Linked DNA regions of Sus scrofa. Each later gene encodes a partner of the first gene's protein in a complex. Links are inferred from orthologs where the notes say so. Each region holds a gene or a part of one and is shown on either strand. Other genes may lie near its edges. The genes, in order: GTF2H4 and POLR2C.

Region 1 (16,523 bases):
TGGCCCTTGAAGCCTGCTGTTCCTCCATTTGGAACAGCCTTTGTCAACAAACTCCTGCTTGTCCTTCAGCAATCTTTCCTGACTTGCCTGACAGGTCAAATCCCTTCCTGATGCTCCCAGAGCACATGATTCTCTTCTTTGTAGCACTCACTATGATACGATTTACATGTTTTTTGTTTGCTTAGAAAATAACGATGATACTATTTACTGAGCACCCTCTATGAGTCAGGTACCATACTTATTACATATTATATCTTATTTAACACAAGAAATTATTGCTATTTCACAGAGAAGAAAACCTCTCTGAGGTTAGCATCCTGCCCAAGGCAGCAGAGCCAGGAAACAGAGAAGTGGGTGGAAAACAGGCCTTCAGCTCCTGGCTCTTTGTTCTTTCTCTCCAGAATGCTACATGAGAGGCGGAGGGGGAAGGGCTCTCCATTACCCATCGTAGGAAGTTTTCAAGCACATGCTGGATAGCCCTATGTTAGGGAGCTTGTTCCACAATCTCAGCAATGAGGAGCCCAGACTGATTTTCTTCCTGAAGGTCAGTTCCAGGAACTCCGCCTGCACTCAGCCTGACATCGGACACCTTGCATCCCTTGGAGCAGGGCTCTTTAAGAGAACTCTGCGATCATGGAACTGGTCTACATCTTTACTGTCCAACAGAGCCACTAGCCACATGTGGCTATTCAGCATCTGAAATGGGACTATGCGACACAGGACCTGAATTTAAATTTTTATTTTACTTAATTTTTTCTTTTTCTTTTGATTTTAGGGCCGAACCCATGGCATACGGAAGTTTCCAGGCTAGGGGTCAAATCGGAACTGTTGCTGCCAGTCTACACCACAGCCACAGCCATGTGGGATCTGAGTCTGCGACCTACACCACAGTTCAGGGCAATGCTGGAGTAAGGGCAGGGATTGAACCTGCAACCCCATGGATACTAGTCAGGTTTATTACCACTCAGCCCCAATGGGAACTCCTTAGTTAGTTTCCATTTAAATAGCCATAGGTGACTAACAGCTTCTGTTCTGGATAGTGTGGCCTTAGTTTTCCCTGCATTGTAGGGAACTGTGACTCTGCCTGCCCAGCTCCCCTTTGCTTGCTCTGGTTAAAACGAAGCATACGAAAATCATTATATAAAAAAATAAAATAAAAAAGTAAAAAAAAACCCTGTAAACCAACTATAATAAAAAAATAAGTCATTATATATAAAAAAAAAATTAAAAATGAAGCATATAGCCTATTTCAGTTTTACATGCACACAAAAACTTTCTTTTTTTTTGGCTGCACCTGGGGCATGTGGACGTTCCCAGGGCAAGGACTGAATCTTTGCCACAGCAGCTACCCAAGCTACTGCAGTGACAATGCTGGATCCTTAAACTGCTGTGCCAGAAGAAAACTACAAAAGCTTCTTATTTACAAAGATAGAATTGCACTAGGTATGCCATTTTGTAATCTGCCTTTCTCCCCCATGATAGGTGGTACATAGCTCAGGCCAGTATGCATACAGTGACTTCCTCTCCAAGTGTTGGCCAGTATTCTACATTGCAATGACCCACATTTTATCTAACCAACTCCCAGTCACAGACATTTGGACAGTTACCACATTGTTCTCATACTACAACAACAAACACACTTCAATAAACATCTTTGCATGTATATCTCCATACCCATGTGGGAGAATTTCAACATGCTATGTTCCTAATGGGGGAGTTGCTAGGTCAAAGGGAATCACATTAAAAGCACTGGTACACACCGTTAGAAAAATGTGCATCATGGCACAGCAGAAGCGAATCTGTCTATGAACCATGAGGTTACGGGTCCGATCCGTGGCCTTACTCAGTGGGTTAAGGATCTGGCATTGCCATGAACTCTGGTGTAGGTCACAGATGCAGCTTGGATCTGGTGTTGCTGTGGCTGTGGTGTAGCCCTGCGACTACAGCTCCAGATGCAGCTTGGATCTGGTGTTGCTGTGGCTGTGGTGTAGCCCTGCGGCTACAGCTTCGATTCGACCCCTAGCCTGGGAACCTCCATATGCCACAGGTGTGGCCCTAAAAAGCGAAAATAAATAAATAAATAAAAAGCATGCCTATGTTACCCTTCCACAAAAGTGTATGAGTATGGTTGTATGTGTGCATATACTGAGGCCAACATTGAAGCTGTCAGTCGTTACTATTAATGGGTTCTTCTATTTTGTTTTGTTTTGTTTTGTTTTGTTTTTGGTCTTTTTAGGCCCACACTGTGGCATATGCAACCTACACCACAGCTCAAGGCAATGCCAAATCCTTAATCTGCTGAGCAAAGCCAGGGATTGAACCTGCGTCCTCATGGATGCTAGTTGGGTTCACTAACCACTGAGCTACGACAGGAACTCCCCTTACTATTATTTGTTAATTGGGTATTTTACTCTTTCTTTCTTTCTTTCTTTCTTTCTTTCTTTCTTTCTTTCATCTTTTTGCCTTTTCTTGGGCTGCTCTCGCGGCATATGGAGGTTCCCAGGCTAGGGGTCCAATTGGAGCTGTAGCTGCACCACAGCCACAGCAACATGGGATCCGAGCCATGTCTGCAACCTACACCACAGCTCACGGCAATGCTGGATCCTTAACCCACTGAGCAAGGCCAGTGATCGAACCCGCAACCTCATGGTTCCTAGTCGGATTCGTTAACCACTGCGCCACGATGGGAACTCCTACTGTTTCTTTAATTTACTTTTCCTTAATTAAGAATGAAGTTGAGAGGTGCTGGGAAAACTGGACAGCCACATGGAAAAGAATGAAATTAGAAAACTCCCTAACACCATACACAAAAATAAACTCAAAATGGATTAAAGACCTAGATATAAGACCAGACACTATCAAACTCCTAGAGGAAGACATAGGCCAAACACTCTCTGACATAAATGACATCAACATCTTCTCAGATCCACCTATCAGAGTATTGACAACAAAAACAAAAATAAACAAATGGGACCTAATCAAACTTCAAAGTTTCTGCACAGCAAAGGAAACCCTAAACAACACAAAAAGACAACCCACAGAATGGGAGAAAATCTTTGCAAGTGAATCCACTGACAAGGGACTAATCTCCAAAATTTATAAACACCTTCTGCAGCTCCATACCAAAAAAACAAACCACCCCATCCAAAAATGGGCAGAAGATCTAAACAGACAGTTCTCCAAAGAAGACATACAGATGGCCAAGAAACACATGAAAAGATGTTCAACATCACTCATTATTAGAGAGATGCAAATCAAAACCACTCTGAGGTACCACCTGACACCAGCCAGAATGGCCATCATCCAAAAGTCTACAAACAATAAGTGCTGGAGAGGGTGTGGAGGAAAAGGAACACTAGTACACTGTTGGTGGGATTGTAAATTGGTGCAACCACTGTGGAAAGCAGTATGGAGATTCCTCAGAAAACTAAACATAGAACTACCATTTGATCCAGCAATCCCACTCCTGGGCATCTATCCAGAGAAAACCACGACTCGCAAAGACACATGTACTCCAGAGTTCATTGCAACACTATTTGCAATAGCCAAGACATGGAAACAACCTAAATGTCCATCGACAGAGGAGGGGATCAAGAAGATGTGGTACATATACACAGTGGAATATTACTCAGCCATTAAAAAGAATGAAATATCAGCATTTTTTGCAACATGAATGGACCTAGAAACTATCATGCTAAGTGAAGTCAGCCATACAATGAGACACCAACATCAAATGCTTTCACTGACATGTGGAATCTGAAAAAAGGACAGACTGAACTTTGAACAGATGCTGACTCACAGACATTGAAAAACTTATGGTCTCTGGAGGAGACAGTTTGGGGGTGGGAAATCAAATTGTTACAATCATTATACAACTACAGATGTGATAAATTCATTTGAGTAATAAAAAAAATAAATATAGGAGTTCCCATCGTGGCGCAGTGGTTAACGAATCCGACTAGGAACCATGAGGTTGTGGGTTCGATCCCTGCCCTTGCTCAGTGGGTTAACGATCCGGCATTGCCGTGAGCTGTGGTGTAGGTCGCAGACGTGGCTCAGATCCTGCGTTGCTGTGGCTCTGGCATAGGCTGGCAGCTATAGCTCTGATTCGACCCCTAGCCTGGGAACCTCCATATGCCGCGAGAGCGTCCCACGAAATAGCAAAAAGACAAAAAAAAATAAAAATAAAAAAATAAAAATAAATAAATAAGATGTGAAAAAAAAACAATGAAGTTGAGAAGTTGAGAGTTTCTTTATTTGGTTACATGGCACTTGTATTTTTTTTGCCTGTTATTAAACTTAATATTTCTATTGTGTTCTTTTTCTTACTGCTTTGTATTTTATCTATTTTACCAAACATTTCTTCCCAGACTGTAATTTGTTCAATCTTACTTAACATTTTGCCATAAAGAAGGTTTGTCAGTTTTGTGCCATTCTTTTGAGGATTTTACGGAACAACAAAACAAGCATGGGTAGGCTACAAAATATAAAGAAATCTTAGTTCTTACCGTTTTCATTCCTGGTAACTTGCAAATGTACCTCAAATCCCAGTTTAGGCAGTTTCTGGCTGTCTGATCATGGACAAATTTCTTAATCTCATTGAGTTTCTGTCCTCTAGTCTGGAAAGTGGGAATAATAAAACTTGTCTTAAAGGAATTTGGGGAAACTTACAGATCTGGCTCTGGCTTAAGACGTTCCCTTCCCTTAACAAGCAGTAGTTTAATATATCAAATCAGACCAAACAATTGTTTGTTTTTTTAAACTGCATTTATTAGGATCTTCTAACAGGGGGCGGGGGGGGGCGGGGAGGTGGATGGAAGCATGGAGGACGTGACAATTAAGATTTACTGAGTATTTACTTGCCAAGGAAGGCACACCGGATGGAGTTAACTCCTAATTCGAGAAAATGCTCTGGAAAGTGCATTATTCCAGTTTTACGAGGAGCAACTGAGCTCAAGGAACCCAGGTTTCTGCATCTCTGAACCTGAGCTCCTCACCACCCAGTGGTTTCCGCACCTCGGATAGGAAGACCTCGGGGAACTTCTATTCTCAGGGTCCCCACATGATCTCGGGTTGGTTAGACTCGCCGTTAGCCGAGTGGGTGGAGAGCGATGCGGAACGAACAGCCAGACCTCCGGAGCCTCCGGCTCTCTTACGTAAAAGCCAGCCTCTCTCCGCTTGGCTCCCCGCAGTGCCTTTTGGGAGTTGTAGTCGGACGCGCTTCAGCTGGCTCCCGGGCTGGGAAGGACAAGACTCCAATTCCCAGCATGCCCTGTGGCGAGCGAGTGCAGCGCCGGTTCTTCTCCTCCCTACCTCTCCACTCCTCTTCTGAATCCTCCACTCTGGACTTGCGTGGGTGAAATCCTTCGTCCCCCTCCCCATATTTTTCGCTCACTTTCCGCCATTCTTTCCCCTATTCCTGAGAGCTAATGCGAGACACTGGCTCCGATTAAGCGACGGCTTAAGACTCGGAGTGCACGAGGAGGGGGTCGACACTGAGTGGTAAGGGGGCTGGGAGAGAAGGGGTGGCGGGAGGTATAAGAAGGAGAGAGTTGATGAGAGACGAGCATTGGGAAGAAAGTAGGGGACGAGTTAGGAGGAGATCATACGGTGTGAGTCAGGGTGAATGGAGTGAAGTAGTCTTAGGGACGGGAAGAGGAAAGAGGTGGAATTAGATTTATGAGACTTGGAGGGGAAAGGTAATTATTGCCGTTCCCAGCACGAGGAGTGGGGTCAAGAAATAGATGGAGAGAATGGGCAGATTGAAGTTTATAGGCTGATCAGACCAGGAGAGGTCGAGGGGAGAGAGAACTGGGCTCAGAAAACTTTCTTTGCCTAGGGTGTAGATAAGTCACTGAAATACAAAATATTTTTGCAAATATGGAACAGCTGACAATTCTTTCACTTAGAAATTGGAGAAGACTTGAGTTGAGATCAGGAGTGCAGTGAGGAGGGAGGAAAGAAGAGGAGGGTGGTCAGGTTTGGGAGAAACAAGAGGAGATGAGTGACGTGAAAAAGGAAACTGTAGAAAAGATGAATTTTTGCAGGGGCCAGTGGATCTGGAATTGGAATGAGAACGGTGAGGGGGTGACACTGGCATGGATTTCGGAGGTCCACTAACACTTGCATCTCTCAGGTGATGGAGAGCACCCCTTCAAGGGGTGGACTGAATCGAGTACACCTACAATGCAGGAATCTGCAGGAATTCTTAGGGGGCCTGAGCCCTGTTGTATTGGACCGATTGTATGGGCACCCTGCCACCTGTTTGGCTGTCTTCAGGTGAGGACCCCGTTCATGGCAGGGACCATAGTAGGGAAATGTAATGAGGCCTGCAGACTGCAATAAGTTATCATGGGTAGAAGCTTAGCTCTGGGGGGCTTGGAGACTAAAATGTGTCAGGCCCAAACAGATGGAGATGTGGGGGCAGGAAGACTGGTAAAAGGGCCAGGGGTGAGATGAGATGTTTGAGAGGCATTTGAGGGCAGGGATGCAGATCTGAGGCAGTTTCTGATATTAACGTTTTCCCTCTGCCCCCTTATAGGGAGCTCCCATCTTTAGCTAAGAACTGGGTGATGCGGATGCTCTTTCTGGAGCAGCCTCTGCCACAAGCTGCCGTAGCCTTGTGGGTGAAGAAGGAATTCAGCAAGTGAGTCTCTGCTGCACTTTCAGCCAGATACAAATTTCTCAACAGCCAGGTTTCCCAAACTGCTGGAGTATATTCAAGGGAACACCACTAAACTTGTAATTAAACAAGTTTGGGAAACTACGCATACTCCATTTTGCCTCTTGGAGAGTTGTGATGTCTATAACAAGGTTCTGGTAGGTGCTGCAGTAAAGAAATTTGCCTTAAGAAGATACCAATTTCACTCTGTGAAACAGTGTTCCAAGGACCACCAGTTCAGAAAAGGCAGAAATGGTGGTCTTTATGGGCTTCCTTCCTTTTGTTCTCTGGACACTCCCCTCACCTCTCCTCTTCTGTTCCAGAGCCCAGGAGGAAAGCACGGGGCTGCTGAGCGGCCTCCGTATCTGGCACACCCAGCTGCTCCCTGGTGGCCTCCAGGGCCTCATCCTCAACCCCATCTTCCGCCAAAACCTCCGCATTGCCCTTCTGGGTGGGTATGTCACTTCCATCTTTTCCTAGGCCAGGCAGGGGAACTAGTGATTAAACTGCTCATTAAACTACTTATTAAGAGGCCCTGGGGGACCTCTCTGGAACCTTGTGGGCTCCACCTTTGGGAGCTCCTTTAGGAATAAGTTGGACCAGACTTTGCTACGTGGTATAGGATATGTCTCCCACTCGTGGCCCCTGGAGATGAGGGTAGAAAGAGGGAAGGGGGGTGGTGGGCAGGGAACACAGGCAGGGTTCCTTACTCTCGGCCGTACTGGCATAGGGGCAAGGCCTGGTCTGATGACACAAGTCAGCTGGGACCAGACAAGCATGCCCGGGATGTGCCCTCGCTTGACAAGTATGCTGAGGAGCGATGGGAGGTAAGGACTTGGGACTCTGTGTGTGTCTGCTTGTGCTCCCATCCCAGGGCCCTTAGAGGCATCTGTCTCTCTGGTCTCTTCTGTTCCTCAGGTGGTCCTGCACTTCATGGTGGGCTCCCCCAGTGCAGCCGTCAGCCAGGACTTGGCTCAGCTCCTCAGCCAGGCTGGGCTCATGAAGAGGTGAGGAAGACAGAGGTACAACAGCTCTGTTTTGCCGTCTCCTCGAGTCCCTGCTAACCTGAGTGTTTGGGTCGGATCAGGATTGGAGGGGGTTGGCTGCAAAAGGAGAGCTGCGTAGAGCATGGCCAGAGATAAACCAAGAAAAATGTGAGCGGACAAGTGGAATGGTGGCCTTTCTCAGCAAACCTCTGCCATGGTCCCTTTCTGTAGTGCTGAACCTGGAGAGCCGCCTTGCATTACCTCTGCGGGCTTCCAATTCCTGTTGTTGGACACCCCGGCCCAGCTCTGGTACTTTATGTTGCAGTACCTGCAGACAGCCCAGGTGAGGAGGTCGGGGGCTGCCTGCTGGCATGCTCTGCTTTTCCCAGGACCCACTGAGGGCCTGCTGCCTGTAGACTCTGTTCCCCGGTTTTCTCTCATTTCCTCCCCACATCTGCCCGTTCCTCCTTAGAGTCGGGGCATGGACCTAGTGGAGATTCTCTCCTTCCTCTTCCAGCTCAGCTTCTCTACTCTGGGCAAGGTAAGCAGGGGGCTGGAGCTAGTAGAGGCTTGGGTGGGCAAGATGAAGGGTAGAGAGATGGAAAAGGAAATGAGGTTAGGGGTCAATAGAGTGAAAGAGAAGAATGAACAAAGAGGAGTTCCCGTCGTGGCTCAGCGGTTAACAACCCAATTAGCATCCATGAGGACGCAGGTTCAATCCCTGACCTCGCTCAGTGGGTTAAGGATCCCGTGTTGCTGTGAGCTGTGGTGTAGGTTGCAGACGCGGCTCGGATGCCGCGTTGCTGTGGCTATGGTGTAGGCCAGCAGCTGCAGCTCTGATTGGACCCCTAGCCTGGGAACCTACATATGCCACCCGTGCGACCCTAGAAAGACAAAAAGACAAAAGCAAAAAACAAAAAAACGAAGAACACCAGGGATGGGAAAAGTGGGAAGGAGCATATGGGGTTGGGGAAGGGAGAATGGGCTGGGTTTTGGACCCCAGCCGGCTACCTCTCTTCCCCAGGATTACTCTGTGGAAGGTATGAGTGATTCTCTGTTGAACTTCCTGCAACATCTCCGTGAGTTGGGCCTTGTTTTCCAGAGGAAGGTATGAGCGCCCAGATACATGGCTTTTAGGGAAGAGGCAGGGTGGTATGTTGCCTTGGCCTTTCAAAAGGAACAGGGGTCTCCGAAGGCAGAAGCAGGGGACAGTTGCCAGGACAGAATACTGGGGTCCCTCGGGGGAGGGGGAGAGATGTTGGGAGCTGAAGTTCTGTGCATTGGGAGGGATCTGATGTATCTGGAGGAAGATGAAGGGCACTGACCCTGAGAGAGGGCTTATTGCTTTTCTCTCCTCCTTTCCAGAGGAAGTCTCGGCGTTACTACCCCACGCGCCTGGCCATCAATCTCTCATCAGGTGTTTCTGGGGCTGGGGGCACTGTGCATCAGCCAGGTTTCATCGTTGTGGAAACCAATTATCGACTGTACGCCTACACGGGTGAGGCTGCACAGAGGACCCCTGGATAGCGGGCTGGCAGGGGGAGGGGAGGGGAGGGAATGCCAGTTTATTTTGATGTTTACTTGGTGGTTCAGAGCTCTCGGAGGCTTGAGGGAGTCTGAGTACGGAGGAGCCTCCTAATCCTCTCTTCCCATCTCCGGTCAGAGTCGGAGCTGCAGATCGCCCTTATTGCCCTTTTCTCTGAGATGCTCTATCGCTTCCCCAACATGGTGGTGGCACAGGTGACCCGGGAGAGTGTGCAGCAGGCCATTGCCAGTGGCATCACAGCCCAACAGGTACCCCACTTGGGGAAGATGGGGGTGGTAGACAGGTTGCATTTGGGCTATGGAGTATGCCACCTTATGGAAGGTTAGCATGGGGTCTGTTACAATAGGTGGTGGTAAGTGGTCTGTGTTTGAGCATTAGGCACGTGAGAAGTCAAGGCTCTTGATGTGGGACTAGGTAGACCCTCAAGGGGAAGACACGAGGAGGGAGAAGCTATATCTTGGGACTTGTGTTTCAGCATCCCTACTTCCTAGTTGCATAAATGGCATAGTTTCACTTCTATGAGCCTCAGTTTCCTCAACTGGAAAATGGAAATGACAGCTTTCACCTCATAGGGTTGTTGGGAGGATTCAGTGAAAGAGGTAAAACATTTGGCTCAGAGCCTGCCATGCAGTAAGAGTGCAAAAAATGATGTTGTTGTAAAGAAAAAAAAATACCTTGGAAAGGGCAAATGTGTCAGAAGAGTAGCAGACATCACCAGTGGGGACAGCAGCTTGGGACAACAGCTGAACTGGGACAGGTGGAAATAATGGTAGGCACGTGCCTGTGAGTTTTTATGAGTGACAGCTTGGGTAGCTTTCCAGCCTTCCTAATTTTGAAGCCCTTGATCCCAATTCTTGTCTGTTTTCCTAGATCATCCATTTCCTAAGGACAAGGGCCCACCCAGTGATGCTTAAACAGGTACGAACAAGTACCAAGCTGCTGGAGGCTGACAGCCCTTGGCACCTCGTGATGAAGTGATGGAAAAGAGAAGGGGGGCATCCAGATCTGGGGAGAGAGGAGGGTTGGGATTGTCTGGTATTCCTGGATTGTACAGCCATCCCTTGCCCCTGCAGACACCTGTGCTGCCTCCCACCATCACAGACCAGATTCGGTTGTGGGAGCTAGAAAGGGACAGACTACGGTTCACTGAAGGTGAGTGTCTTCTGGTGGTTGATTCTAGGTCATTGGCCGGAGGAAGGACAATTCAGTCTTGATGAGCTGAAAAAGCTATTCATGCATTTCTCAGTGTTTACTGCATGGGTTTATTATGGGGTGAGTCGACAGCAGTAAATGAACTGCTTCAAATCGGTGCAATGTGGATTAGCTAGAAGAGGGAAATGGCGAAGGATAATTCATAGTAATATACCTGGTTTGATAAGCATTAATGGGTTTTCTTATTGTATTATATTGACTTTCTGAATATGGCTGGATCACACTAGAGTTAGGATGAGCCCTAGAACAGGCAAACAGGATTCCTTTGTAAATGCGGGGGGCAAGCCCAGGCCGCTGCCCTGAGGCAGCCCCAGACTCTGGGCCCCGCGCCTCACCTCATGCTCTCACCTCTCTCTCGTCGCCGCTCCTGACCTGCGGACCCCAGGCGTCCTCTATAACCAGTTCCTGTCACAAGTGGACTTTGAGCTGCTGCTGGCCCACGCGCGGGAGCTGGGCGTCCTAGTGTTCGAGAACTCGGCAAAGCGGCTCATGGTGGTGACCCCGGCGGGACACAGCGACGTCAAGCGCTTCTGGAAGCGGCAGAAGCACAGCTCTTGAGACTGCGGGACCGGGCGGGACAGTACTGTGACAGTACCGTGACGGCGGGCCGCTTGGAGGCGGACGCCGCCTCAGAACTCAGGGGTATTTTTTATTCACACGTCAAGACTCTTCTTGTTTAATAAAATTGTGAAAATGAACCACGCGACCCGGGGCGCTTAGCCGGGAGGCGTCTCTTCGCGGAAGACGCGCTCCTCTCTTCTCCTCGTCGGCAGCCATTGGACTGGGAGGGGGAGGAGGTGGGGCCGAGGCCAGCGGCCGCGCCTGCGCCCCATCAGGGCCCCGCCTCCCTGCGCCGCGCGGCTTGCGGATCGCGTTCCGGCTTCGGCTTCTTCGGAGCCCCAGCCTCTGCCGCCCCTGCCGCGGGGCGCCCTGGGATAGCAGCCGGCCCACCCGGTGAGCGCGCGCGTAGGAGTGGGAAGCGCTGCGGGGCCGGGGCCCACGCGGTGACTGGCGGGAAGGCAGGGCAGTGAGCTGGGCCGGGGGCAGTGCGGACGGCCTCGTGGGAGGACAGAGTTCGCAGTGACCCTGGAGGGACTCCTTGCCGGCTCTTGGGAACGCCGATGTCTATCAACTCCGCGAATCCCTGAATCCTTTCCCTGCCTCTGTCCGCATCTCTGTTTCCCCCACGTCGCAGATAAACAGGTTGAAGGCCTGAGACTCCGACCCTGTCCCAGAAGAGCCTTGATCTCTATGACTCCAGGACCCTGTCGACACCATGCACACTAGTCCTCACGGAGGAATGGGTTATGTGGGGTGGGGTCGATATTTGACAGACCAAGGAGACGGGAAGTAAGGAATAGGGTGTAACAGGAGGTGTGACCTTTTCTCACACCCATACCTTCTAATGTGCTCTGTCTGGAACAGATCCTGGCCCCTTTGCAAGCACTCCTGATGCCTCACTTGCCTCTGGCTTCCTTTCGACCACCGCTTAGGGGACTGAGGCCCACACGGTGCTTCCCCAGGTCCCATTCCCTTTCCACTCAGTCAGAGCCCCATGGATCACCCATCTCACGGAGAAACCGTGAAGCCAAACAGAAGCGCCTGCGAGAGAAGCAGGCGGCGCTGGAGACTGGCATAGCAGCAAAGGGCAAGGTTAGGAGTCAGATAGCGTGTCCTTGGTTCTCTGAGGGGGCTTGGGAGGGAGCTGGAGGAGAGACTGGCTGGATTCCTTATGCCTGGGGTACACTGGAGTTGCAACCCCTTTTCTGGTCGCTTCTCTCCCCAGCCACCTGCAGAATCCACTAAGGCCTGGACTCCTAAGGAGATAGTGTTGTATGAAATCCCCACGGAACACGGTGAAAAGAAAGGTAATTAAGAACTGGAAGGCCTCTTCCCTCACAATTTTATCGCCTCTTTGGTTTGCTGAAATGCAACCTGGGAACAAAATCCAGGAGTTAGTGGAGCTCTTGTCTGTCGCCATAGATGTCTCCCGGCCCCTGCCTCCTGCATACAGCCCCCGGTATGTTGAGGCTGCCTGGTACCCATGGTGGGTGCGAGAGGGCTTCTTCAAACCAGAATATCAGGTTAGTACCCAGCAGGGAGGAGTGCTAAGTGGTCCACAAGGCGAAATGGCTGGTGGAGTTGGTGTCTCCACAATTGTTCTCTGTAGGTTTTTCCCTTCCTTATTAATTTGCTTATTTTTTCTGCATTTCTTTCTGCCTTGCAGACACCAGAGGGTGCTATTTCTCCAGGGAACATCCAGCCCTCTCTGACTTTTCTCCTTGCTTCTAGACCAGGCTGCCTCAGGCTACAGGGGAGACCTTTTCCATGTGTATCCCACCCCCTAACGTCACTGGCTCCCTGCACATCGGGCACGCCCTGACGGTGGCCATACAGGATGCCCTCGTGCGCTGGTGAGAGGAGAATGGGCTACTTGAGTTCTGGAGGGGAAGGAGAAAGTGTGCGAAGGATAAACAGGTAAGGCCAGGGATTCATGTGAGGTTATTTCTTTTGCAGGCACCGGATGCGTGGGGATCGGGTGCTGTGGGTCCCTGGCTCAGATCATGCAGGGATTGCTACTCAAGTATGTTTTTTGCCACTTTTCCCTTTTCTTGGGTGAAAGAGCTTTCTTCCCCCAAAGTGACCCGATTCTCTGCGCCCTCATCTTACTGTAGGCTGTGGTGGAGAAAAAGCTGTGGAAGGAACGAGGGCTGAGGAGACGTGAGCTGAGCCGAGAAGACTTCCTTAGGGAGGTGTGGAAGTGGAAGGAGGAGTGAGTATGGTGGGCGGGGCGGGAGGGGCCAATGCCACAGGTTTGGGTCCTGGCTTTCCAGCCCCTCTCCCCTAACGCGTAGGCGAGGCTCTTCTCATTCAGTCCTAACTTCCCATGGTGACGTAAGCTCTGGGAGCATTTGGTGGGGTCTCCGAGCTTGGGGTGTGTGTGTGTGTGTGTGCGTGCGCGTGCACGTTGTATACACTGAAAAGTATTTATGTATGTGCATGTATATATGTGTGAATTTTTCTTCTCCCTTTATCCTGTTTCCTGTGTTTAGATTTCATCGTCTCTCCTCTTCACTTATTCCCACTTCCCATCCACTTGAAATTACCCTCTTTCTTCCAGGTCTGTTATCACATGCCATTTTCTCTGTAAAGCTTCTTTGGGTTTCTCACAAATCAGCTGCTTCTTCCCCTGTTACCGCAGAACTTTTATGCTTCTTTCATTGTCCTAGAAGGCCCCATTCTGGGTTTATCTGTCTCCATTGGCTTCGAGAGGCTAGATCAATGCCAAACTCACTCCAGCACCCGGCATAAGTGGGGTTTCACTGGGCTTGGTGTGTAGTTGGTGTTTGGGGCATGTTTGCTGCCCAAAATCTCTCGGCATAGGAAGGGTGGAGAGATCTGTCAGCAGCTCCGCGTGCTGGGGGCCTCCCTGGACTGGGACCGAGAATGTTTTACCATGGATGCTGTGAGTGCCACAGTCCCTGTGGGTGTCAGGGAGGTGTTTAGAGATCTCTATAGGGAGGCGGGCTGCTGTGTGTGTTGGGGTGGGGAGGGTACCGCAGCTTGAGTGGGGCCATTGTGGACACTGATGTGGACACTCAGGTCATTCTAGGGCTCCTCAGTGGCTGTGACGGAAGCTTTTGTGCGGCTCTACAAGGCTGGGCTGTTGTACCGGAGCCGGCAGCTTGTCAACTGGTCTTGCGCCTTACGATCTGCCATCTCAGATATTGAGGTGAGGCAGAGAAAGAGAACTGGGTTTGTGAGAGTGCCGAGGCAGGGGCAGAGCTTGGACTCTGGAGCCAGGTGGTCTGGATTCACATCTGAGTCCCACCACCTCCCAGCTGTGTGACTCCCGGCTGGCTGTTAGCCTCTATCAGTCTCAGTGTCCTCAGTCTATAAATTAGGGGTGATGGAAATGCCTGTCTCATGGGGATGTTCTAAGAATTACATGATGACTCCTGGAAGGGGTTGGCACAATACCGGTGCATGGTTTAAATACTTAGTAAATGTGACTGCACAAGGATTAGGTGAGGAGAGAATTCTTATTGCGGTTCAGCGATAATGAACCCGACTAGAATCCATGAGGATGCGGGTTCGATCTCTGGCCTCGCTCAGTAGGTTAAGGATCTGGCGTTGCTATGAGCTGTGGTGTAGGTTGCAGCCACAGCTCAGATCCCTCGTTGCTGTGGCTGTGGTGTAGACTGGCAGCTGCAGCTCTGATTTGACCCCTAGACTGGGAACCTCCATAAGCCGCGGGTACAGCCCTAAGAAAGAGAAAAAAAAAAAAAGGAATTAGGTGAGGAGAGGAAGGTGACTCCCGAATCCTCTGAGTGGCTTCTGGGGGGTTGCAGGGAGGTGGAGAGCCAGGCGTGAGCCTTGCAGAAAGGCCGCTCTCTGACCCCGCTGCTTCCATGTGTCTAGGTGGAGAGCTGGCCCCTGTCTGGCCGCACGGAGCTTCGGCTGCCTGGCTGCCCCACCCCCGTATCTTTCGGCCTCCTCGTTTCTGTGGCCTTCCCCGTGGATGGAGAGCCTGGTGAGGGTAGTTCTGGGAAGGGTCACCTGCTTACCTCTGCTTCCTCTGTTTTCTCAAGGGTGTTGGGCTGATGGGAGGAAACCCACCGGCCCTTTTCCCACATGGTCTGGTGGGTGGGGCCTAAGGAACCCTGGTCCTGTGTGCCTCCTATGGGCATTCACCCTGAGTGTCCTGGGCCATGTAAGGAAAGTACACGTGATCGCTGCTGTCCAGGAGCATAGTTCCGTAGAAAGCTGCTACCCCCTAAAGAGGCAAAGGATCAGTTCTGGTGTGGTTTGAGCAATAAGTGTTCCCAAGAGTTCAGAGAAGGAAAAGATAGTTTAGTTTGGATAGTCAGGAAGTTTCTGGTGGGTGGGGCTGGGGCTTCCCCTAATAATGCACAGCATTTGTAATCAGGGCATCGAGAACCCCTATGTCCTCTGGGCCCCAAGCAAGGATTCTAGTTGCTTTCATTAACTCTCTACCCGTTTCTCCCATGCAAGCTATTGAGGAATTCCACAGCACCAGGCACCCTCTCGGGCCTCTGGTCATTAGCTTAGTGGAAACCCCAGGCTCCTATGGACATTGGTCCTAACTTCCTCTGCTTACTCCTAGGGGCCTGCTCAACTTTGGCCATCCCTCCCCCCTCCCTTTGCCAATTCTCCCAGCTTTAGCTATGTCGGGAGTTCAGGCAAGGGCGAGGACCAGCTTTAAGTGCTTGATTTTTGTCTTCAGACGCAGAGGTTGTGGTAGGAACCACGAGGCCAGAGACACTGCCTGGAGACGTGGCCGTGGCCGTCCATCCTGACGATGCCCGATACACAGTAATGCACAGCACACGCTGCCACCTGGCCTTCCTCCCCCACCGCTTTCTCTTCCCTTCGTTTACAAGGGCAGCTCTGCCTCTCTGCTTCCTCTTCCTAAGATTTCCCTCATCTCAGTTCTCCAGTGGCTCTGAATCTCCTCCCTTCTCTTTCTGATGTTGCACTTCAGCTCAGAGGCTGACAGACTATGGCCCATGGGCCAGATCCACCCACTGCCTGTTTTTGTACAAGCCACACATGTTCCCTATGTATCATCAATTGTTAGATCAATTATCATCTAGCTCTGCCACGGGGGTGGAGTGGAGGTGTACAGAGACTGAATTTGCTTCTTGGTCCGCAGAGCTTAAAATGTTTACACTCTGGCCCTTTAAGAAAAAGTTTACTGAAAAAAAAAAAAGAAAAAAGAAAAGAAAAGAAAAGAAAAAGTTTACTGAGCCCTGCTCTGGCTCTTTACCTTTGGTTTTCACCCTCATACTCCCAGAGTTCTCCTGCCCAGCCCAAACCTTTCCATCCCCCCCGCATGCCTGTCCTTGATCCCTCTCTTTTCTCTTCAGCATCTGCATGGGCGACAACTTCATCATCCCTTAACGGGGCAGCTTCTCCCCCTCATCACAGACTGCGCTGTTCAGCCACACCTGGGCACAGGTGAGCGGGGGCAGGGGAGGGAAGCGGGAAGAGGCAGAGTGGGGGAGGGTAGTCGCAGTGGATAGTAGGGGATGAGAGCTTGATGACGATAATCTGGAAAAGCAAAAGCCACGTTCAGCGGTTCTGTTCCCCCAGG
Region 2 (15,089 bases), on another chromosome or scaffold:
GTAGCGCAGGATCCAAGCTGCGTCTTTGACCTACACCACAGCTCATGGCAACATTGGATCCTTAACCCACTGAGCGAGGCCAGGGATCGAACCCTGCATCCTCATGGATATTAGTTGGGTTCATTACCGCTAAGCCACAGCAGAAACTCCTCCCTCTTTTTAAAAAATTAATTTGTTTTTATGGTGCACCCGTGGTATGTGGAAGTTCCTGGGCCAGGGATTGAATATGAGCCACAGCTGTGATCTTCGCCATAGTTATGGCAACACCAGACCCTCTAACCCACAGTGCTGGACCAGGAATCGAACCCGTGCTTCTGCAATGACCTAAGCCACTGCAGTGAGATGCTTAACCCACAGCACCACAGCAGGAACTCTTGGGCTCTCTTTTTTAAGTCTAGTTAACTCTTATATTTGTCTGCTTAGGCTGCTGTGACAAAATGTCTCACAGTTCTGGAAGCTGGGAAGTCCAAGATCACAGTGCCAGCCAATACGGTTCTTGATGAGCGCTTTCTTCCTGACTTGAATGAAGGTGGCCACCTTCTCTTTATATTCTCACACGGGAGAGAGAGAGGGAGCTGTCTCTTCCTGTTCGTATTGGGACGCTAACTTCATGAGTCCTGCCCTCCTGACCTCACCCCCTCACATTAGGGGTTAGGGCTTAAGCATTTGGGGATCCACAGGATCTCGAAGCCTCTGTCTTCTGCTTTGCTGTTTCCTACCTAACTAGACGGAATATTCATGAGGGAGATAACAAGCTAAGTAGGAACTTCCCATCTCTTCTTGTGGGCCTTCCTCTGGGCCCTTTCTGCACCTCCCTAAGCCTTTTATCTCGACTTTCTGTCAACCTCTCAGCAGTAGCTATTTCAAATTTCATTCCATTCTCTCCTTTATCCTTTATAGCATGCCTCTTGCACTCAGCAGACAATTTGATTCTTAATTTACTGAGATGACACAGGCTGTGGAGCAGGGACCCCCTCAGTGCTCTTCCTTTCTCTCCTCTGTAGGAGATTACTCTTCTTCTGCCCCCTAAATGCTGTCACCTGCCAAGTTCTATTTTAGGGCTTCTCTGTGTGAGCTCCTGCCACCTTTTTGAGGCCTATTCAAACTTCTCTCTAGGGGGACTGTTTAGGGGACTTGCATAATTCTTTGTCGTACATTGCCCCTGGGTGACACACACTGCCAGGCACTGGAGATGCAGAGATGAAGAGATCATAACCCACCCACCTCCGCAGAACTGGAGGTGATAGGTTGAAGAGAACTGCATCTTCCTGCAGTGTCAAAAGTGCATGATCCAGACTTAGGAGTGGAAGGGAAAGGGTATAAACCTATCACTCAAGCAAATTTTGCTAAGTACATGTAAAGTATTGTCATCCCTCAGTCTTTTGGGCTTTTGGTTCTAGAACTCCCCCGTCCCCTCTCAAAATCTGGATGCTCAATTCTTTTATATAAAATGGCATAAGATTTGCATATAATCCACACACATCCACATAATTCAAATCATCTCTAGATTGCTTATAGTACTTAATACAATGTTTAATGTTATGTAAATATTTGCTGGGTGTGAGCAAATTTTTAAGTTTTGCTTTTTTGGAACTCTATGGACTTTTTTTTTTCTTTCAGTCTTCTTGAAGAACCCTTGGATAGGGAGGACTGACTGTCTTTTTGTTCCTCCATCAGTGTACAAACCTCATTAAAAGACATTATTGTTGGGAGTTCCCATTGTGGCTCAGTGGGTTAAGAACCTGACTAGTATCCATGAGGACTCAGGTTTGATTCCTGGCCTCCGTGGGTGGGTTAAGTATCCGGTGTTGCTATGGTTGTGGCATAGGCTGGCAGCTGCAGTGCCAATTCAACCCCTAGCTCGGAAACTTCCATGTGCCATAGGTGCACCCCTAAAAAGGAGAAAGAAAAAAATATATATAGTTAAAGGCCTTTTGTTGTCAGTGCAGTGGCTCAGGTTGCTGCTGTGTCATGGGTTTGATCCCTGGCCCAGGAACTTTCACATGCCAACCCCCCCTACCCCCCCAAAACCCCCCAAAACCCCCAAACAACCTACCCCAAAAACACTGTTATAGTATTCCTATGTATATTTAACCAGGTCTGTGTCAGTGGGCAATCCGTTTTATTTATCGTTTTTTGTTATAGTGCTGCAATGAACATCCTTGTACATGTATCTTTGCTTACAACTGCACGCACTTCTCATATGAATTTCTAGAAGTGTTTCTGTGGAGTCAAGGGCGTGTGCATGTTTTACTAAGTCGCCTTCTAAATGGTTGAACCTGGTGCCTTTTGAAGTAGGTTGAGGGTAGAAAACGTCGGAGCAGCCTGGCCTCCGAGCAGCAGGCGGCGCTCTGAGCGTGTCTCTGCGGAAGCGGCGGGACCGCGCTGAACGACTTCCGGTGGCGGCGTAGGCGCAGGCGCAGGCGCAGGCGCAGGCGCAGGGGCGCGAGCAGCAGAACCGACCCCCAAGGCCCCGCGAGCAGTCTGGCGCGATGCCGTATGCCAACCAGCCAACCGTGCGGATCACCGAGCTCACCGACGAGAATGTCAAGTTCATTATCGAGAATACGGACCTGGCGTAAGGGTGCTGAGGGAAGGGGCTGGCGGCTTCAGAGTGCCCGGGGCCTCGGCTCTGGAGGGGCGGGGGTCTGTCTTTCTTGAACTGGCCCCGGAGCCGGGGCTTTTGCTTTGGGAGCCGTGGGGCGCGGGGCCGGCTGTCGAGTCTGCGGTGCCCACGCGCCGCTTGGTTTTCATTCCTTAGGGTGGCGAATTCTATCCGGAGGGTCTTCATCGCTGAGGTGCCCATAATAGGTAAGCGGCCCTCGCCTCCTCGTGGTCAGGGCCACCAGTTCCCCCACCTCCCCATACCTTGGCGTTCCTGACTCCAGCCTTGTTTGGGGCCCAGGGTGGGGGCGCTGCGAAAACAGCAATGCTGGAGACTTGATCGGACCCCGTGCTCTTGCCCCAGGGCCACTGTGGCCCCTTCCCTGGCTCCCACGGGCCACTCAGTTCCACTCTTCGAGGTAAAGAGCACAGGTTCAGGAGTTTGCAGACTTGAGGTCGAATACTGTCTTTGTGAAACTTAGGCAAGTTATCAAACTGTGCTGCAATTTCCTCTTAACATTCGGACGCTAATAGTAGTTATCAGGGTGACGTCAAGGATTAAGTGGGGTAATCTCTATTAATTGCCTTGTATTTAGTGAGTGCTCAGTACCGGTAAATATCTTTTTATGAATCTGTTCCATCCACTGAGTTTACAGAGCTTATAAGTACCAGGCAGTGGTGCGAGGCACTGGGAATGCAATCAGTCTGGTCATTATACCATAAATTGTGATATGGGGTTCCCGTCGTGGTGCTGTGGAGACGATTCCGACTAGTAACCATGAGGTTGTGGGTTCGATCCCTGGCCTCCATCAGTGGGTCGGGGATCTGGCATTTCGGTGAGCTGTGGTGTAGGTCTCAGACAGGGCTCGGATCCTGAGTAGCTGTGACTGTGGCATAGGCTGGCAGCTGTAGCTCTGATTCAACCCCTAGCCTGGGAACTTCCATATGCTGCAGAGGTGGCCCTAAAAATCAGAGGGGGAGAAAAAGCACTATGGATCATAAGTCTGTGTTGTTTTTGTGAGATTTGTTTAACTTTGAGGTGTTCAAATAGTTTGTGTTCTTGGATTTGGTGATGGCATGAATGGTAGACTAGAGTGCTTCCCACAGAAATAGTCAACTCAGAGAAACACCTTTCTGTAGTAGTCTACAAGTCGCTGTTTTTCTGGGTGGTGTAGGGTACTCCCTGTATCAGATCCACCTGAGCATGTTGGCATGTGGTTCTTGTTAAAGTGTAGCTTCCTGGGCCCCCCTCTAGAGCTGCAGAATCAGTCTCTGGCAGCCTGGCCTTGGTGTCTGCAATGTGGTAAGCATTAGATAATTTTTAAATCTGAAGAACCACTGTTCTTAAGCCTTCAGGTGAATTTGGTGGCTAAACTGCATATCTGCTCTGCTTCCTTTATTTCTTTAGCAATTGACTGGGTTCAGATTGATGCCAATTCCTCAGTCCTTCACGACGAGTTCATTGCTCACAGGCTTGGTGAGTGCTGGGTTTGGGAAGTTAAAGGGCAGGGCAGTGGGGCTCTGCCGGTTTCAGGGGAGGAAGTCTCCTCACTCCCAAGGGGACTGCTGGCTTTTCCTTTGGCTTGGCCCCTTGACCTTGTTTAAACTGCTTCTCTCTGTCTTCCAGGATTAATCCCCCTCACTAGTGACGACATTGTGGACAAGCTGCAGTACTCCCGGGTATGCTGTGTGATTGCTTGGGAGGTCGGGGGTCAGGAATCGAGAGAAGCAGGGAACTCACGTTCTCAAAGGGATTTTTCCTGACACCTTGCTTGCAGCTTTTAGAAAGACAGTGTGGAGATGTTGTCCAGAGCCCAGGGCAGGCTATGTTCTTAAAATCTCATGGGGCCTCAGATTGACGAGGCTCCAGGGGCATCAAGGGGTTTTGAGAGCCCGCCACACAAGAGTGGATATACACCTGGATGCCCACTTATACACAACAGGTGGAGCTGTTCCTCCTCAGCGTCTGATCTGTTCACATTCTGCTTTCCACAGCATCTCTTCCCAGGGGCAGGGTCTTAGGAGGCCAAAGGGCGGCAGCAGAAGGTTAGTGGGTGTGGACAGGGAGCAGAGGGGGTGAGAACTGTCCCACAGAGGAGCACACGAGGGACTGGGGTGCTGATGTCTGCCAGCTTTATGCCTTACTCCTAGGTTTTGCTAATTAAACATGGCTCCCTTCCTCTAGAGCCCTGTTTCTGCTCCTGTGATGTGATAACAGGCTTAGAACTAGGGAGAGGGCAGGAAAGGATTAGGTTACCTGCATCTTTTCACCAGAGCTGCATTAGGTAACAGACTCTTCCTTCTTGATGGCAATTCTAGTATTCCCAGGGGTGTGGTTTTTTTTTTTTTTTTTTTTTTGGTGGCTAATTTTGTAAATTTATGGTTGTTTTTTTTTTTTTTTTTTTTTGTCTTTTTGCCTTTTCTAGGGCTGCTCCTGTGGAACATGGAGGTTCCCAGGCTAGGGGTCTAGTCAGAGCTGTAGCCGCTGGCCTACACCACAGCCACAGCAACACAGGATCCGAGCTGCGTCTGCGACCTACACCATAGCTCATGGCAACGCCGGATCCTTAACCCCCTGAGCAAGGCCAGGGATCAAACTTGCAACCTCATGGTTCCTAGTCGGATTCATTAACCACTGAGCCACGAGGGGATCTCCTATGTATTTTTAAATATTCAAACACACAGCAGAGTGTGAAGCAAATGTAACATAGTCATGCTCCCTCCAAAGCACTTGTCACATTTTTCACACCATTTTGTTGCTTCACATCTCCAGATTTTTGTTTTTAAGAAGTAGAGCATCACATGTACTGGTGGGGACATTTGTACAACCAATTGAAGAGCAATTTGTCAACATCTTATATAAAGATATGAATCCCCTTATGACCTACAAATTCCATTGAATTTCATTTTTTGTAGTATTACATTTACTGAACAAAGATGGTATGGGGTTTTTTTGTTTGTTTCTGAAAAGCTATAGAAAGGTTGAAGATAGACTACTTATTCTCTTTTCACCTATAATTTCCAGTTGTCAATATTTTGCTACTTGCTTTATTCTTCATATGTTATTTTTTCTCTTCTTCTGAGAGAATGTTGCAGATATCGTGACACTTTTCCCCTAATTACATCAACATTCATGTCCTAAAAATAAGGTATTTTCCTGTGTAGGCACACTGTCATCATGCCTAAGAAATTTAGCGTTGGAAGTTCCCTTGCGACAGCCTGACCAGTATCCATGAGGACACAGTTCCATCCCTGGCCTCGCTCAGTGGGTTAAGGATCTGGTGTTGCTGTGAGCTGTGGTGTAGGTCACTGACATGGATTCTGAGCTGCTGTGGCTGTGGTGTAAACCAGCAGCTGTAGCTCCACTTCAACCCCTAGCCTGGAAACTTCCGCCACGGGTGCGGCCCTAAAAAGCCAAAAAAAAGAGAAATCTAGCATTGATTTGTACTATCAATATACAGTCCAAATTCAGATTTTCCAAGTTATCCTCAAAATGTCCTAACTGGTTTTTGTCTGTGGGTCTGTGATCCAATCAAGATTGCATTTAGTTATTATACCTTTTTATTCTCTTGATCTCTCAGACTCCTTTTTTTATTATACTTTTTTTTTTTTTGAGATTGAATACTTTTAATTTCATATTCCTAAGAATGATGCAGTCTTGAGGGCCTAGGCTGTCTTCCTGCCTCAGCAGTGTGTGATTGCAAATTGACCAGGTGTGGGCCCTAGTTCTTCCTCATTGTCTTGAAAACAACAAAAAGTAGGTTGGATTTTCTTCACTGGTAGGAAGTGGGAAGGTTTGCTTGATTACATTCTAGTAACTCTTTTTGCCTGAGGTTAAATGGTAGCAGCTCGTCTCTAACACGGGAATGTTTAAGAATCAGTGTAAAGAATGGCACACTTGAAAGTTAATGAAGCTGAGTGATGGTTACATAGTGACAGTCTCTTAAGTCTTCTCTGCTTCTGTGAATGTATGAAAATTTCCATAAATTCATACATTACCTGTGACTTTTTTTTTAGAGAAGGTCTGTAGTCTGGAACTTAAAAGATAGATTTTTTCTTGTTCCCTGGATTATTTCCTTTTAAATGGTGATGGCTTTCCTAAGCCAGTCACTTAGCTTATGGGACACAGAGCTGTGCAGGATGAAAGCTGCCTCCTCTCTCAGTGCCTTGGTTCTAGAAGAAGAGTGCTCTGAGGGTAGGGTGAGATGTTAGTGCATCTCCTGGTGGTGGCCTGGTGTTGCGCGGGGGGTAGACACAGCTGTCTCTGAGCTGGGACGAGCCTGCCCTTGAGCAGCCCGAGAATGGCGTGTGGGATGGACACAGCCCACGGGAGCCTGGAGGCTGTGCTCTGCCCTCTCCCAGGGAAGGACCTTAAGGGACGGGGTGTTAGAAGCAGGGAGCCAGGCCGGGATTCGCCATCTCTCTAGACTCACTCCTGCCTCTCTTCCTGCCTCAGGACTGCACTTGTGAGGAGTTCTGCCCCGAGTGCTCGGTGGAGTTCACCCTCGATGTGCGGTGCAACGAAGACCAGACGCGTCACGTCACATCCCGAGACCTCATCTCCAACAGCCCCCGGGTCATTCCGGTCAGCGACATCCTCCCTGCCCAGGGCCTTTGCTCTTCTCTTGGCTCCGAGTGGACCAGACTCGGGTGGCTCCTTATAAAACACTGGCTTTCCCTGTGTGCCCTCTGCCTTAACCTCAGCCTGGTGCCTGGAAGTGCTGATTCTGGAGTCTTGCCAGGGTGGGCAGAGCCATTGTTGGTGCTCTGGGCCCCCTGTCTCCCAAGGACCCTTTGAAGGCTGTGGTACTGTTTTGTTTTTTGTCTTTTCTCTTTTTAGGGCTGCACCCGAGGCATGTTGAGGTTTCCAGTCCAGGGGTCGAATCGGAGCTGTAGCCGCTGGCCTACACCATAGCCACAGCAACGCGGGATCCGAGCTGCATCTGTGACCTGCACCGCAGCTCATGGCAGTGCCAAATCCCCAACCAGCAGAGGTGCATGGGGACATTGAGCAGCAGCTAATAATGCCTGTTTGGGTTCCCTGCAGGTGACATCCCGGAACCGAGATAATGACCCCAGTGACTACGTGGAGCAGGACGGTAAGGGGCCCAAGAGAGGCAGAGACCAGACCCAGCCTCTCGTGCTGCCTGGTCCTGCAGTGGCGGCGCGGGTCAAACTGCGGAGAACCAGGCCTCTGCTGGCCCTCGCCCACCTCTCCCCTCTCCCCGCAGACATCCTCATCGTCAAGCTGAGGAAGGGCCAGGAGCTGAGACTTCGCGCCTACGCCAAAAAGGGCTTTGGCAAGGAACACGCCAAGTGGAACCCCACTGCAGGGGTGGCTTTTGAATATGATCCCGACAATGCCCTGAGGCACACGGTGTACCCCAAGCCGGAGGAATGGTATGTTCCTGGTGGGAGTGAGGAGAGGCAGGCAGGTCAGGGTTGGGCGGGTGTGGAAGTGGCTCCTGGCGACTGAGGTGGGGCACCTCACCATGAGACCTGGGCACCCCGAAAGCGGCTGCGGCAGCAACCCTGTGCTGATCTATGTCTGACCTCAGGCCAAAGAGTGAGTACTCGGAGCTGGATGAGGATGAGTCACAGGCGCCCTACGACCCCAACGGCAAGCCAGAGAGGTGAGTCCCTGGCTTGGCACCTGAAGGTAGCGTGGTGCAGGCTCTTGAGTGCCGGAGGCCCCTTCGCTTCCTTCTCATTCCCGCCAGCTGAGGAGGGGCTGCTCACTGCTGAACCCCACTCTGTGTACATCCCAGGCAGTTTATCATCCCCCTCGCGGTCACCGTGAGAAAGGGGGGCCCTTCTGTTATTCAGACTGTCCCTATTCTGATTTTCCACACCCAAAGAAAGATCAGCCTAGGATCAAAAACCTATGGCCCTTGGGAGTTCTCTTGGGACACAGCAGGTTAAAGATCCAGCACTGCCATGACAGCGGCTTGGGTCACTGCTGTGGCGCAGGTTCAGTCCCTGGCCTGGGATCTTCCACATATGGTGGGGAGTGGCCCAAAACAAAATACTTAAGTCCCAAATCTGACCAAAGGCTTAGAGTAAAAAGTACGAAAATGCTGGAGCAGGTGACGCTGCTTCCTTGATCTTCTGGCTGCCCTCAGTGTGGAATATGTATAGCAAACACACGAGCTTTGAGAGGCTCACAGTATCCTTTCCAGGTAGCTATGGCCTCCCTGAGGCCCTGCAAAGTGCCCTGGGACCTCTGTTTGTAGGGGGTTAGAGGGAGGCAGTCCAGGGGCTGGAGTTCGTCTGGGGGAAAGGAGTCAGGACTCAGAAGGGAGGGAAGGGGTGGGCCTGTGGCCAGGGTGGGGGCGGCCAGGCTGCCTCACGGAGGCCTCTGACCGGACTCTCGCCTCTCAGGTTTTACTACAACGTGGAATCTTGTGGCTCTCTGCGCCCTGAAACCATTGTCCTCTCAGCACTTTCTGGATTAAAGAAGAAACTGAGTGACTTACAGACCCAATTAAGCCATGAGATCCAGAGTGACGTCCTGACCATAAACTAGCCGCAGCTCACCTGTCTCAGCAGAAACAGCTCTTGAATTTCAGGCCTCTCCTGAGACTTTTGCTCCTGGGGACTGGACAGCTGTTGCTCAAGCTTCCTGGCACACCTGCAGTACTGGCTAGAAAGGTAGCGGTGGGGGAGGGCAGGCCATCCCAGGCTGGCACCGTCGCAGGTTGCCGGGGGTGCCACTGCTGTCGGAGGCGGAAAAGTCTCCTACATCCATTGAGCATCCGTGGCCCTGCCTGCTGATGGGCAGTGGTGCTCTCCACAACGCCGGATGTGCCTCCAGGGGCCCTGGCGTCCCCCGGTTGAGAACCACTGAGCTGGACTCTCCTTTTCTGATCAGTTCAGTGCTTTAGTTTGAATCCTTCCTGTCCACAAATTGGGATTTCGCTCTTGTACCTCAGGCTTCTGTGTTAGGATTGACTCTAGAATTCTTTCTCAGGCCGCCTGCAGGTCCTTCCAGTCCCGGCCCTGACCCGCGTACTGGCACTTCTCTCATATTCCCAGGAGTCCCTAACTTGAGACCCTTTGAGAACACTGTTAGACCCAGGCTGTCCCCCTCTCCCCATCAGTTATGAACTTAACAACAGTGGCCCATTTATTTGTCAGGAGGGCAGGGGACTTAAGGAAAGGTTGGCCTTGCCCCTGGCTCAGCCTTAGAGGTAGGAACATACCCAAAGCAGTTAATTAGGCAGCCTGGCCAGAGAAGCCTGGAGAAAATCAGAGACCTAGTACAGAAAGGAAGGGATGTGTATGAGTTGTCTTTTAAAAGTTTTTATTTTTGGCAATAAAGAGCACAACGTCATCTCCTTCATGCGTCATCGTGCCACTACCTGTGAGCCAGTCAGCTCCGCCTCCCTCTCCGTGGCCTCGGGGCTCCCTTCAGGCTAGCTTACTCCTCTGGGTGGTGGGTCCCTGGGTCAGGTCCAAAGCTGAGCTGGCTGTGGCCACCTCCCTGGCTCCAGGGTTCTGGCGGAGGGGGCCTTTTGCTTTATCCTCCTCCTGCCACGACTTGAACAGTGGTTATTTACAAGGTCTATTCTCACAAATCAGAGTCCTAAAATATTAAAAACAAAAAACTCAACACACACGCAACCGCAGGTTTGATGTGAGTAGAAAGATAGCCCTTCTGCACGGTAGTCAATAAATACCAGCACTAGAAAATCAATTGCTTTAATTGCATTTCAGCAGGGAGCCTCAGCACCATGTGGGGAGGAGGAAGTGGGAAGGTCTTGGTTTCTGAGTACTTCTGGCTGGCCGGGAGCCAGACGGGCAGAGGGGCTCCCCCTGCAGGGGCCCTGCCCACCCCAGTCAGTGAGAGGGCTGCGGGGTGCTCCCTCAGCAGTCCTCCTGCAGCTTGGCCTTCCCTGCTGGCCTGGCCCGGGGGCAGGGACACGCTCGGGTCCGGCCATCCTCCCCCGGCTGAGGTAACCAGCACCCCCAACCCCAGGGTGTCTTCTCAGCCTACTAAGCAGGAAGAAGCCTGGGCAGAAACCATTTTAAACCAGATTTTCACCTGAGGTGTCAACGAGATGTCACCTCTGCTTAAAACTCCAAGTGCAAGGCTGCCAAGTGGCACAATGTATGTTCGGATCCTTCCTGTGCCACTCTGTGGGCCCAGAGGGACTAAGAAGCCGCGTGCTGTCTCCACCCTGGCCTGCTTGGGAGAAGCCAGCAGCCAGAGCACCAGCCGGGAGTGCGGCTTGGCTGCCTCCTCTAGCCCTGGCAGCTCAGGAGGGCTGGTACCTTGGGGGACAGGAAATAGCTGTTCACATTGAAAAACAGCCTTGACTGGGGTTTGGTCATGGGCTTAAAAAATGTATGTGGTGGCAGGGAGGGACAGAGAGGGGAAATCTTATTAATATAGAATATGTCATAAGCCATATATATTAAAATCATTAACAGTATACAGTCCTGTGGTAGCTCCAGCCCCTCACACATGCTCAGGTGGCGTGGCCAGCCCTTTGCCTTGGTCCAGTCTCACCCTTGGGGACAAAGAAGGGACAGCTTGCTTCCTTCCTTCAGGCTCTTGGCCAACAGCCCCTCCAGGCGTCCACAATACGCGGTAAGTGGCCCCGCAGCAGGGGGCCCCAGCAGTCATCCGTGCGCGCCGCTCTGCGGTCACTGGGATGGGGTCTTGGCCTCGCTGCTGTCCCCCTGGCTGGGCTTTGGCTTGAGCAGGATGAATCTGTTGAGGAGGTCCGTTTCTGAGCTGGCCTGGGCTGCCCCATACGCTTCACCTATGGACACAGGGTAGGTTGAAGACGTGATCCCAGGACAGAAGGCCCTGCGGACCCGCCCTGTCCTCCGCAGAGCCTCTGGCCGGTGGGTGTGGGGCACAGCAGTGACTCACCGGCATAGCTGGAGGCCTCGGCGATGTTCTGGGAACCCGTGATGTGGTGCCAGTAGGCACTGCGGGGCAGCATGGTAGTGGGCGTGCAGGGGTATGAGTAATGTTCAGTGCCCTTGTTGAGCAGCTGTGGGGCAGAGAAGGGGCAGTGGCTAAGCCAGAGCAGGCGGCCCAAGACCCTGCCTGCCTCCTCCACACACCTGATGGGTGGGGGCTGCTGGCATGCTCTGCCGCCAGCCTGCCCGCCCACCAGCTCCCCCTTCCCGTGCTGAGCACACCACCTCACCCTCACGTTCTTTTCCATCTCCAGCAGGACCCGCTTGTGCTGCTCGGCAATGGCCAGGGTGGCACTGTGGACCCGCTGGTAAATCTGTTCTCCCTCCTGCGTCTGGAAGGTGTAGAGCCCTTCCCCAGCGTCACACATCCTAGGGACACAAGTAGCACAGAAGGCGAGGTGGTGGGGACTTCCCCGTATGTGTGCAGACGCCCAGTCAGGCTCTTCTGCGCCCCAGGCCCCGGTGGGAACAGGCAGGGCTGTCATCTGAGGATCTGACCCCCCAGCTCAAATGTGCTGAATGTTTTCTGTGTGCCAGGTGGTAGTCTAAATGCTTTACTAGAATTAATCCACTTCGACCATTTTACAGATGAGGAAACGGAGGCATTCAGAGGGTAAGTAACAACCAGAGTGACCCAGAGAATTACACAGAATTTCAGTCCAGGCAGGCTGGCTTGAGAGGTCACGCTATACCCAACCCTTAACCATACTTGACCCAGCCTAGGAGGGAGGACCTGCTATGCCCTATGTGACAGATGAGGAAATTGAGACTCAGATCCACTGTCCCAGAGCTAGTCAATGCCAATGCCGGCATCGGACCGGAACCCGAGCAGCCTGACCTGCTAAACAGCTTCACTTGACCTCCATCCCTTCACTTGGAAAACGGGGATATTCTGTTTCCTCTCAGCACGCTATGCTGATAAATACCTTAAGCTTCCAATACAGGGCCCAACACAAGTGGATGGCAGCCACTGTCAGAGCCATGGTTTGATGGCGGGGAGGCAGAGAGTCCTACCGGCCAGCCTCGAAGGTAAAGCGTGTGGCATCCCGGCCGTAGCGGCGCAGTGAGCAGAGGGGCCACGAGACGAGCTTCACGCGGGGGTTGTGTATGTCCCAGAGGTAGATGTTCTCGTGGGTGATCTGCAGCTTGCACTCGCCATACACGTCCAGGTTGGGGCAGGGCAGCAGGAAGACGTTGAAGCGGTCTGGATGGGAGTGGCCGAGTGGGCCTGGAGCTTTCTCAGGGGAGGCCTCTCCCCGGCCTCTCCCCACCCCCCAACCCCACGCCAGCGCCAGGCCTCACCTGTCTGCTCACACTGCACTCCCGGGGCCAGGAGGTCCGGCTCTCCCAGACTGATGTCGTTGAGCCTCGATCCCAGACACTCCACCGAGAGTGTCTTGTACCACTCCTCTGCCTCCAGCTCTGGAGAACATGGGATCTCAACACGGGCCAGCTCAGGGCCCCGCCGCTCCCACCCCATGTGGTTCGGCTGGAGTTCTCCCGCCGTGTAAGGCAGCGGGCAAGGCCAGGGGATTCTGCGTGTCTGCCCACCTCGGTCTGGGGCCTGCTCCAATGGCGCCCTCCACCCCACGCGTCACACCCGCAGGGCTAGCCCTGCTCTGCCTCCTACCAACTGGCCCTTGACCAGCCCCCAGCCTGCAGCCCCAATCCCTCACCTGAGTCGCAGGTGAAGGTACGTGCCGAGTCATCAGTGAATATGATGGCCACCGCCTGTCTCTTGGTCTCCTTGGGGAGCCGTGTGACACACTTGACATTGCTGATCTCCGTCACCTGGGACAGCATCCATAAGGGACTCAGCCAGGCTGGAGAGCCTCCCGCTATATCCCCCACAGCTCTGCCACCCCCAGGAGGGTCCCCTTGGCTCTCAGGACTCTAAACAAATTGTCGCTGCTTACAGGTTGGGGGAGCTAGGGCCCAGGCCCCTAACCTTGGGGCAGCCTCGGAGGCACACTGACTTCTCATCTGGATACTTCTCCAGCCGCTGGGGCCCCTTGCTGGAGGATTTCCGGAACACCAGCCAGCACCTCCGATAGATCTGTGGGGCAAGATGGCAGGGGGATCAGACCCCGGACCACTCCCACCCAGCCCAAGTGGCCCTGCAGTTACCCCTGCCTACCACTGGGGGCAGTAGCGCACAGCCTTCCAGGGAGCCGGGCCCAGAAGACTGGGGAGCAGGGACACCAGCCAGGCAAGGAGGCCCCTCCCCAGATTGAACAGGTAGTCATTTCTTGGCTCGTTCTGAAAGCCTGTTCCATAAAGGGCGCTCCTGAGTTACTGTTTACTATGAGCTCGACTCGGCTCAATATAAGCAGCTAGCATTTATCAAGTGCTTCCTATTTGTACTTTTTGTTAACACTCTCTGCAGTTAATCTCAGGGTCACTATTGATGTCGGTTCTATTATTATCTCCACTTTATAGACCGGGGAACTGAGGCACCCAAAAGTTGAGTAACAGCTAATGAATGGTAGAGCTGCTATTTAAAACAGGCTGCCTAGATCCAGGGCTGTCCTAGGAGCCCATGTGCTAAGGTTCTGCCCAGGGCTCCAGGAGCACCCATGACACAGGCAGTGTCCTGGGGACAGGGTTTAGGCCCTCGCCTGCTCCCAGCCTGCATGTCACTGCAGCCCTTATTCTTGCAGCTGGAGGCAGGCTCTTGATGTGGGAGACACCCCCTCTTGTCTCTAGGACCTTTCGCTCACCCTCTTCATTCTCTGACCAACCCTGGAGTTGAGGGAACCAGGGGAAGGCCCCTTGTTCCAGCTGGGAAACCAGAGGCTCTCAGAGGTGAAGGAGCAGAACCAAGAACCTGGGGTTATCCCAAAGCATGGTGCCTTGCCCCAACCATTGCCAGTGACCCTGTGCCTAAATCTGCCTAAATTCTCTATAGCTCAGGAGTCTATCTGAGGAGTAAGGAGCCAGGGAGCAGGGAGCCAACTGCTCTCCAAGGCTACAGGGGCAAGCTGGCTCCTCAGACCCCCTCAGAGGCGGCCCGAGCCACCTGCCTGGGCTGCTGATTTCCTCCTAGCACAGCCCCCACAGCCCCCTCCCTCCCACCTCAGGCTCTCTCCCAGCCCAAAGCCTGGCTGGGGTGTGCCTGCTCTTTCGGCAGGCATTCCAGAGGCCTGGCCCAGCCATTCCCTAGGAATCGCCACGCTCCTCTCCCTGGCAAACGGCAGGGAGACTGAGGTGGGGCCCAGAGCAGAGGATGTGAAGGGGCCTCCGGGCCAAGCCCCCTCCCCTGCCCTGTACCCCTGATGGCTCAGGCAGGGTCCCAGGGTATGGTTAGCCCAGGCAGTCCCCATCTTAAGAAGCTACTCACAACCAGGCTATTTCTGGCTCCTGAGACTCTAGAAGCCATGTCTGTCCCCGTCGCTGTGACCCTGGCTCAGCCCCTGGCCTATCCACTTAAACCCCAGCAGACCTCAGCTTCCAGCTGAGGCGCTCCTTTAGGGCAGAAACTGCATTTTATTCTCAGAATCCTCACATCGCAGTAGCCTCGCTGACAGCTCTGCCGAACAAGTGAATGATCA

Evidence for each region.
Region 2: GTF2H4 (region 1) and POLR2C share a complex: the UniProt entries of both Homo sapiens proteins name them as parts of the TBP-based Pol II pre-initiation complex. The link is inferred for Sus scrofa from reciprocal best matches to the Homo sapiens genes GTF2H4 and POLR2C.

What each region holds. Positions count from the first base shown.
Region 1 is NC_010449.5:23,393,166-23,409,688, forward strand, and holds GTF2H4 (general transcription factor IIH subunit 4), read left to right. Parts: upstream 1-6,139; coding exon 6,140-6,279; intron 6,280-6,541; coding exon 6,542-6,646; intron 6,647-6,984; coding exon 6,985-7,116; intron 7,117-7,391; coding exon 7,392-7,488; intron 7,489-7,579; coding exon 7,580-7,668; intron 7,669-7,878; coding exon 7,879-7,990; intron 7,991-8,119; coding exon 8,120-8,188; intron 8,189-8,671; coding exon 8,672-8,755; intron 8,756-9,012; coding exon 9,013-9,145; intron 9,146-9,310; coding exon 9,311-9,441; intron 9,442-10,063; coding exon 10,064-10,111; intron 10,112-10,266; coding exon 10,267-10,345; intron 10,346-10,790; coding exon 10,791-10,963; downstream 10,964-16,523. Other genes in the region: VARS2 (valine--tRNA ligase, mitochondrial), read left to right, coding at 11,858-12,058, 12,192-12,273, 12,389-12,489, 12,698-12,819, 12,923-12,989, 13,081-13,178, 13,790-13,871, 14,019-14,138 and 4 more. UniProt on the Homo sapiens protein: Component of the general transcription and DNA repair factor IIH (TFIIH) core complex, which is involved in general and transcription-coupled nucleotide excision repair (NER) of damaged DNA and, when complexed to CAK, in RNA transcription by RNA polymerase II.
Region 2 is NC_010448.4:19,391,176-19,406,264, forward strand, and holds POLR2C (DNA-directed RNA polymerase II subunit RPB3), read left to right. Parts: upstream 1-2,393; 5' UTR 2,394-2,492; coding exon 2,493-2,578; intron 2,579-2,761; coding exon 2,762-2,811; intron 2,812-4,012; coding exon 4,013-4,081; intron 4,082-4,231; coding exon 4,232-4,284; intron 4,285-7,060; coding exon 7,061-7,189; intron 7,190-7,651; coding exon 7,652-7,703; intron 7,704-7,835; coding exon 7,836-8,004; intron 8,005-8,162; coding exon 8,163-8,237; intron 8,238-8,985; coding exon 8,986-9,130; 3' UTR 9,131-9,944; downstream 9,945-15,089. Other genes in the region: DOK4 (docking protein 4), read right to left, coding at 11,254-11,372, 11,486-11,609, 11,769-11,907, 12,553-12,742, 12,841-12,960, 13,215-13,329, 13,487-13,594. UniProt on the Homo sapiens protein: Core component of RNA polymerase II (Pol II), a DNA-dependent RNA polymerase which synthesizes mRNA precursors and many functional non-coding RNAs using the four ribonucleoside triphosphates as substrates.